Linked DNA regions of Lytechinus pictus. The protein of the gene in region 2 interacts with the protein of the main gene of each other region in a pairwise test. Links are inferred from orthologs where the notes say so. Each region holds a gene or a part of one and is shown on either strand. Other genes may lie near its edges. The genes, in order: glycogen synthase kinase-3 beta-like and axin-1-like.

Region 1 (3,937 bases), on a different chromosome or scaffold from region 2:
CCACCCGTCCTCCCTCTGAAACCTTGATATGCCCCTATACTTGCGTGTAGGTATACAAAGGATACAGTGACAGAGAAAGAAGATTTAAATCACGATAAGAATATTCAGAGTGACAAGCACATGCATTACACATGATACTATCTGTCAAAAGCTACAAGGGCATAAGTGCTTATAGAAATGCAGGATTTATCAACCTTTTTGCTGTGAGGGGATGATCGGTCCGTAATAGGCTGAATCATATGGCATTTCCTCTAGTTATGGTTTCATTGAGGCACAGGGGTGCCAGCTCGATCTTGTTCTTGTTCGCATAAAGCGATAAAATCTGTCAATCCTCCAACATATTTGTTTCACATTTTTATTCCTAAGTTCAGTTATTTTGTATTTTGAACTAAAAAAAGGGGAAAATAATGTTAAAAAAGTGTACAGTAAACCACTTGATTTTTTGTAAAATAAATATATATAATATAGGCCAATCAATATTACATGAGAGCAATGCCCCTGCCCCCCCCCCTAAAGAAATCCATTATGAAAGCATCAATAACCCCCAGGTCATACTGAAGGCTTCACTTGAACATCAGAATTGGAAATGCCTTGGTGCCCCTAGGTTTGTAATCAACAATTCCCTATTTATTATCAATACCGTGATGCAAAATGTATCAAAGCTGTACAGAGAATTCATAATCATAACTATTCCTGCTCTCACAAAATGCAAAAATTCACACCCCAACCAAACGATACACCTATGATTTTTAATAGCTCAGACTGTGCAATTTGAATACTGTATGATTATCACTATTAAAATTGTGATATCCTATCGGACATGTGCATATTAAGAATTGCGCTGCTCCAGTATAATCGCCTCTTGCGCTGTGTGACTTTCCAGTATCAATTAAATTGCCCCCCCCCCCCCAATAAAAAACACATTTTGTCTCTCTTCATTATGAATTCCTAGGCTACATCGGAAATATTGACTAGTAATATTTTTTTAAGCACATACTCATTGATTTTGAAGTGGAAGTAGGAGGCAAGATTTTTGTTGATGAAATGCGTGGTGTGACGATTTTGCTGTAGGCCGACGATACCGGTCGACGATGTGTCGACCACTCCCCGCTTGCTGGGCGCTCCACAGTGCACATTGTGAAATCTCTGCAGAAGGGGCAAAATGTCCTCAAACATCAAAGCACAAAGTATCATCCAAAAGAAATGCTGTGTCAAAGACAGCAAGGAATCCAATTTAGTAAGGATCCACTATCCTTGCAAGAAATTCAATATTCTCTTGGAGTATTAAACTGCAGAAGTTATCAAAAATGTTTTTTTGAACAAATCTGGAAAGCTTGTAAAAGCATGCAGGATCACATCAAGATGTACATGTAATAAAAAATTGGCAGGAATCAATTTTAATACAGATCACAGGATAATTACTCTCAAGATTTCCATACTCATATGCGATCAGGCTGATACACAAATTGGAATGATCCACTTCTTGTGAAGGTCTTGGAATCTAGCGACTGTAGGATAGGGGAAGATTTCAAAAAAAAAATTATTCTGAAAATTCAGATCTCCAACAGGTTTCAACTCAAGAATACCATCATAGTAGTCGTAGTCCTCCCCTTTCAAATAGCACAAATTTGATTCTATTGTAAAAAAAAAAAAAGTCAGATTCAATCATCCATAATCATGAGCATCACTTCTTGCATATTTATTAGTATGAGTCTTGCAATGAAATAATTTAATCTCAAGAGCAGTGAGATTTGAAAGGCAGAAGTGTTGACTTCTTGATTGTAAACACTGTAACTCAACACCCTGCGTTGCTCGTCCTACCCAGCGCGTGTAGATGCTCAGCTGTGCAAATCACACAAACCTCTCCTGGTAAAATTCCAAAGTTTTCAAACATCCAAGTGCAACTGCAGCAGTTTGAAACAAATCAATAGTAGCTGCAATCCCTCCTGTCAAAACAGACCCTCCACGGATCTCCGTCAGAATGATGGACTTCCCAAATGGAGTGTCCTTTTTTTCAGACAATGCACAATGCGGTTTGTTTTGATTGCGCAAGGAATGGACAATGAAAGGAAGAGCTCGGTGTCCCTGACTTGGATGTGAAGTCTGAACTGATCCCGAAATGTACACAAGCTTTTGTGATTAGCAGCAGAGCATGTGAACACTTGCAGGGCCTGCGCAATACACACAGACACATCCATGTAATATGTTGATTACACTGAGCACCAACATGCATCTGTGTACATGTACATAGAGTTTGTGTGTGTGTGTGTGTGAGTACAGTATGAGCAAATCTGTGTGTACATACATGTACTTGAGCATTGGGATGGTTGCCAATTTGAGGATGAATGCCCTAGTTCAATGATTCATTCAGCTAACCAGCTGTCAATATGGTGGCATACCTGACATGCTTGTTACATGATCAAGAAAAAGGGAAAAGAATGCACCTTCCTTTCATGAACAAGCATACGTGTAATTCACATTCCTGACTGCATACCTTCAATGTATTAAATTAATGTACATAAGTACATGTACATAGTAGGCTACAGTCTAATTATTTGCATGATGCTGATGTGTAATAAAACAAAGTGCAGTACACATGTACTGGTAACAATGAACTTGCTTGCACACTTCTGTGTAATAAAAAAAAACCACCTCTTATGCAGGAAAAAAAAAGAGATCCCTATCAATTGCAGACATAAATTATAACTAGCACATCAATGACGTGGTGCTCATCTGGCATCTTGCAGCAAAATATAACACAAGTTTTAATTTCAGCCCAGTTGATACTGTAGTGAATTATATTGGTGACGTAAATTGAGGAAACAGAATTGAATTTGATGAAGAAATAGAGAAGCCATTTTTGTGATTTTTGAATAATTTTCATATTATACATTAGGATTAATATTTTTTGAGTCAAAATGTCTAAATTCTATGTAGAAAGAACCTTGGTGAACCTCATGTAGCTCTCGGATAAAAAAAAATCAGTCAACAAATGAACATTTTTGTGAGATTTGAAAAATATGCATAAATTAGCATATTAAATGAGTTTCAAAATTCTGTGTAGAAGTTTTGTATCCCACATAGAGCTACCATTTTAAAAGCAAACAAAATTGAAATTTATCAACAAACGAAAGAGAAAATGCATTTTTTTGTGATTTCTGAATAAATTGTGGAGGTTTAATGACCCTCATGTACATGTACACTCTACCAGATGGATAAAAAAAGCAAAATTTGTCAACAAATAAGCGTTTTTTGTGATTATGAATAAATTTTGCATAAATTACTGTAAACAATGTTCAAACTACTTAAAATTTCAAAATTCAGTGTAGAAGTTTGGTGAACCTCATAAAGCTCTACCAGATGGAAGAAAAAAAAATCAAAATCAGTCAACAAGAAGAATTATTTTATGTGAATTTTGACAAATAAGCATAAATTCATTTTGCATATCAAAATTAGCATAAAAATTTGTTATGACATGTAATGTACGTGTAGGCTACAGTATCTTAATTCCTATTGAGCAATAATTTGCAAGAGTTCGGGATGTAAAATTCCCATTTTTGTAGTCAGTACATGTATCCACCAAAATTTGGGTCTATTTTAAATAATGCATGGGACATCCTACATGTACATGTATGTGCATGTACATTTTGTACATTGCATTATTGTGCTTTCTACCTCCATTCACAGCATGTGCTCATCCATGCAATACATTCAAGGAATCCCCCTTGACAACAATAGCCCATTGTAAACAAAAGCCTTGCCCATTGTCACAGCACCCCTCTATGACAATCCCTAAAGGGGTATAACTGTTTTACCCCCTCCTTTATTGATTTTTGGCTGGAAGCTGTCCCATTTTAAGCTCCAGCACATAGAAAATAATAGATGACCTTTCATTGACAAGATACACATGGAAGGTCATAGAGTGTGGCATGCATGG
Region 2 (3,937 bases):
AAATCGAACCTCACTGTTTTACCAGTTATTCTCAAATTCTGTTTACGCTTTATTTATGATCCACTTGTGTGATAATCCAAGATAGTAGATATCCGTGAAATCCAGTTTGGGCAGAGTTTTCTTGAATTATGGTCCAGACTTCAGCTACAGAAAGTAACGCCAACGGCCATGCAGATGGAGCCAGCGTAACGTAGTCTCGCTCTATGCATCCATGGTCCAAATAAGCGCCCCGAGAAAGCCACGGGACGGGAGTGCGATGTGTGGTGCATGCCGGACCGTCCAATCCAACTCCAAGTTAAACGTGTTTTGATGCAACATATCGTTACACGATATTTAAAGGAAATGAAAAGGTAATTTTGAGTTTTAGCCTAAAATTCCTCAATATGATTAAACTTGCACACTTTCCTTACCTTCTAATCATTGGAATGAAATATTATGTTCACCGCTGATCAGATTCGATGCAAGCAAACCGTTCGTACGCTAGGCATGGCGAAACTGGGCATAAAATGGCAAGTCACTTTGGATGCTCATGCTGCATACACACACACGTACACACACAAACAGGGCCTAGGAAGTTCTCAGTGTTGCAAAGTGCATGAAACATCAAAGCACATGCCCGCCGCCCGAAAAGCTCCCAAAGGGCAGTGACGTACACACAAACGACAAGCCGCACCAATCAGAATGCAATTCATTAAGTTGCCTGGACCACTTCCACTAGGAAATAGAGGGGTGTTCACCAAATCGTAAATAGATAAGGTATAGATAATATTCAAAGCACGTTGCGTTACGCAACACAGAAAACTCCAATAAGATAAATAGCGATGTGATAAACTGTATCGGCTGAACAGGCAAACTATCGTAATAAAACTTCAATAGAAGACAAAACTCATCTAAAAGTCTAAAAGTTTGCTCTTGTAACATAACAGGTCACACTGTCATTGTAGCGTGAGAAATGATTAGATTTTTCTTCTCCTAACCCTGGCTCTTTTCCTTCTTTATCTCTGAACCTGGCAGAAATGTTGATTTACACGGATGCATGGGATTTTATCAGTGTTCTAATACATCATACATCTAGGAATATCTCTTCTCGTATATTCAACAAACATCATGACATCCCTTTAAAATAGTTTGGATTAGAGGTTTCAAAATACCGTCACCCTCTTGTAAAAAGTCTGTTGAAATTAAATTAAGTTTGGTTCTTAATTTTGTTTCTTTCCCTGGCCTTCCTTCCTGCACTGATGACATGGTCCATCGCTTTTATTTACAATGAAAACTAGGAGAGCGGCGTCGTATAAATGCACAGTCGAGATTTATTCAGGCAGTAAAAATTCACTGGCTACAATTGTGATGACTCGCCGTCGTTTTTTATTTGTATTTTATTTTTACAACCTGGACTCTCCTGGCTTTATTCCTCGCCTGGAATTTACAGGGCGTTCATTCTATGACTCTTGGCATTCAATTGTGATTGTGATAAGTGTGGTATACAGGAATACCAAATATGAATATTAAAAGGGGGGATAACATCATTTGTAATCAAGTTTCTGACATATTCATGTGGCCTATATTATGCTGAAGCAAAATAAAATGAGGCCCAATATAGATATACTTGACATTTCTGAAATTATACGATAGCGATAAAACAGGCAAACATTTTCAAATATTCAGACATTATCATAATCACAAACATTTGGGGTCCTTTCCCCATCACCAGTTGGTCAAGATATATGACTAAAAAAAAGGCTCTATGGAGAATTTTCTTTAGTTTCTTTCTTTGAAAAGGTAGTCCTTACACTATTTAAAGCATATTAGCAAGCAAGGAAAGCAACTAAACTTATCACAAAGACTCTATTTATTTTTTCAAGTTGAAAAGAGAGTATTTATCTTACGGCATTTTTTCTGGAAATTTGCAATAAGAGGATTTTAGAAGTCCCTGCGCATCGACACACCCTCCCTCCCTTCACCAAAAATGGAACGAAGCTTCATTTTTTAAGCTGGAATCGACACCGATATTAACAATTACAACACTTTTAAAAGAACATCATTTAGATAATAAGAGCGTTCAATCCATGAGTGGAAATAAAAATAGATAAATAAATGAATGAATAAATTTAATAAAAAAAATCAAAATAACAAAAATATCCATAGCATATATAGGTCTCTTGGTATAAAGATAATTTTTTCAATGGGGTGACTTCATGATGTTTTAAGAGAAACAATGTTTGAAAAAAGTGTTGAATTTATGGGAAAACCTCAAAAGTCACCGCTCTCTTCCTCTAGGCCAAATAGCCTAATTTATAGATATATGCCTACATAATGAAATATATATAGCATATATATAGCATATATATAGCAGTCGTGAACAATACAATCATTTGAGTGTACCACAAATTATATACCAATTAAATGAGGTTTAACAATAAATGCAATAGCCTATCCGCAAGTATTTCAAGCACTGGTATACGGGTGTGATACGGGGGGGGGGGGGTAGGTGAAAGAAAATACATCACCTTTCAATCATAAATTAAGATTTTTTTATTAAAAAGTTAAAAAAAAATCACTCGATTGGCACGCTCATATATTGTTTGGAAAATATGCCACGTCTGGCCTCTCTTTTTTCTTTTCTTTTTCTTCTCATTTCGCCACTTTTTTTCAAGGGAAGTCGATCAAGCAAAAAATAATGGTCCTATATTTTAATAAATCAAAATATTAAACTATCATTAACAAAAATAAATCGCCAGAAACAACGAGGTATACCGGTGGCAAAAGGAAACAACATATTTGGTTAATATGACTTTACCTGATTTCGTCACTGACTCATTTAAAACGGTGACATAAAGGGTCTACCGTCTAGCTATAGATGTTCAATTCCTGTGTTCAGATTCATATACTCGACCGGTAGGTCTATAGTAAATAATTTGTTTCTTACAAATAATTCTCAGACGATTAATTTTTGAAGAAAGAAATAGAATCTCTAGATCGCTGTTCTCCTCCTAAGCCAATGAATAAGCAGGAATGAAGTCGGAAGGCGAATCGTCTATCACAAACGATGGCATGAATATTACAGGGAGGGGGGATACTGGGGATGTACAATAAGTTGAACCGCGGAACTGTTAGTGCGGGGATACCGAAGCGAGAATACCGCCTTCATTACTCCGCTCTTTACGGGTGTTAATGATTTATCGCGAGCAATAAAAATAAGCCGACTCTCTGTGATCTATGCCGACACGAAGCCCTGCCAATTCAACGTATCGCCTCCATATATACCGCAGCATTCAACGTTCTGCTTCTATTGTTCATCTCTTCACATCTTCCCCTCTATTCTCCTTCCCCTCAGATCTATCAATATTCATCCTCTTCTCGCTTCCTCTTTCTATCTGTCTGCCTGTCTTTCTCTCCCTTTCCCTCCCCATCTATCTATCTTTCTATCTATCTATACCAACCAACCTACCTACCTACCTATCTATCTATCTATCTATCTATCTATCTATCTATCTATCTATCTATCTATCTATCTATCTATCTATCTATCTATCTATCTATCTATCTATCTATCTATCTATCTATCTATCTATCTATCTATCTATCTATCTATCTATCTATCTATCTATCTATCTATCTATCTATCTATCTATCTCTATCTCTATCTCTATCTCTATCTCTATCTCTATCTATGTCTGTCTGTCTATCTATCTATCTATCTATCTATCTATCTATCTATCTATCTATATCTATCTATCTATCTATCTTTTTATCTATCTATCTATCTATCTATCTATCTCTATCTATCTATCTATCTATCTATCTGTCTGTCGATCTATCTATCTATCTGTCTACCTACCTACCTATATCTATCTATACCAACCTACCTATCTATCTATCTATATCTATCTATATCTATCTCTATCTATCTATCTATCTATCTATCTATCTATCTATC

What was found.
Region 1: the proteins of axin-1-like (region 2) and glycogen synthase kinase-3 beta-like interact in a two-hybrid assay, tested with the Drosophila melanogaster proteins (2 studies listed by BioGRID, with this or other methods). The link is inferred for Lytechinus pictus from reciprocal best matches to the Drosophila melanogaster genes Axn and sgg.

The regions. Positions count from the first base shown.
Region 1 is NC_087252.1:13,175,484-13,179,420, reverse strand, and holds the start of glycogen synthase kinase-3 beta-like, read right to left. Parts: upstream 2,296-3,937; 5' UTR 1,822-2,295; intron 1,509-1,821; 5' UTR 1,137-1,508; coding exon 998-1,136; intron 1-997.
Region 2 is NC_087254.1:17,714,549-17,718,485, reverse strand, and holds the start of axin-1-like, read right to left. Parts: upstream 3,164-3,937; 5' UTR 2,798-3,163; intron 647-2,797; exon of another isoform or gene 411-646; intron 266-410; exon of another isoform or gene 1-265.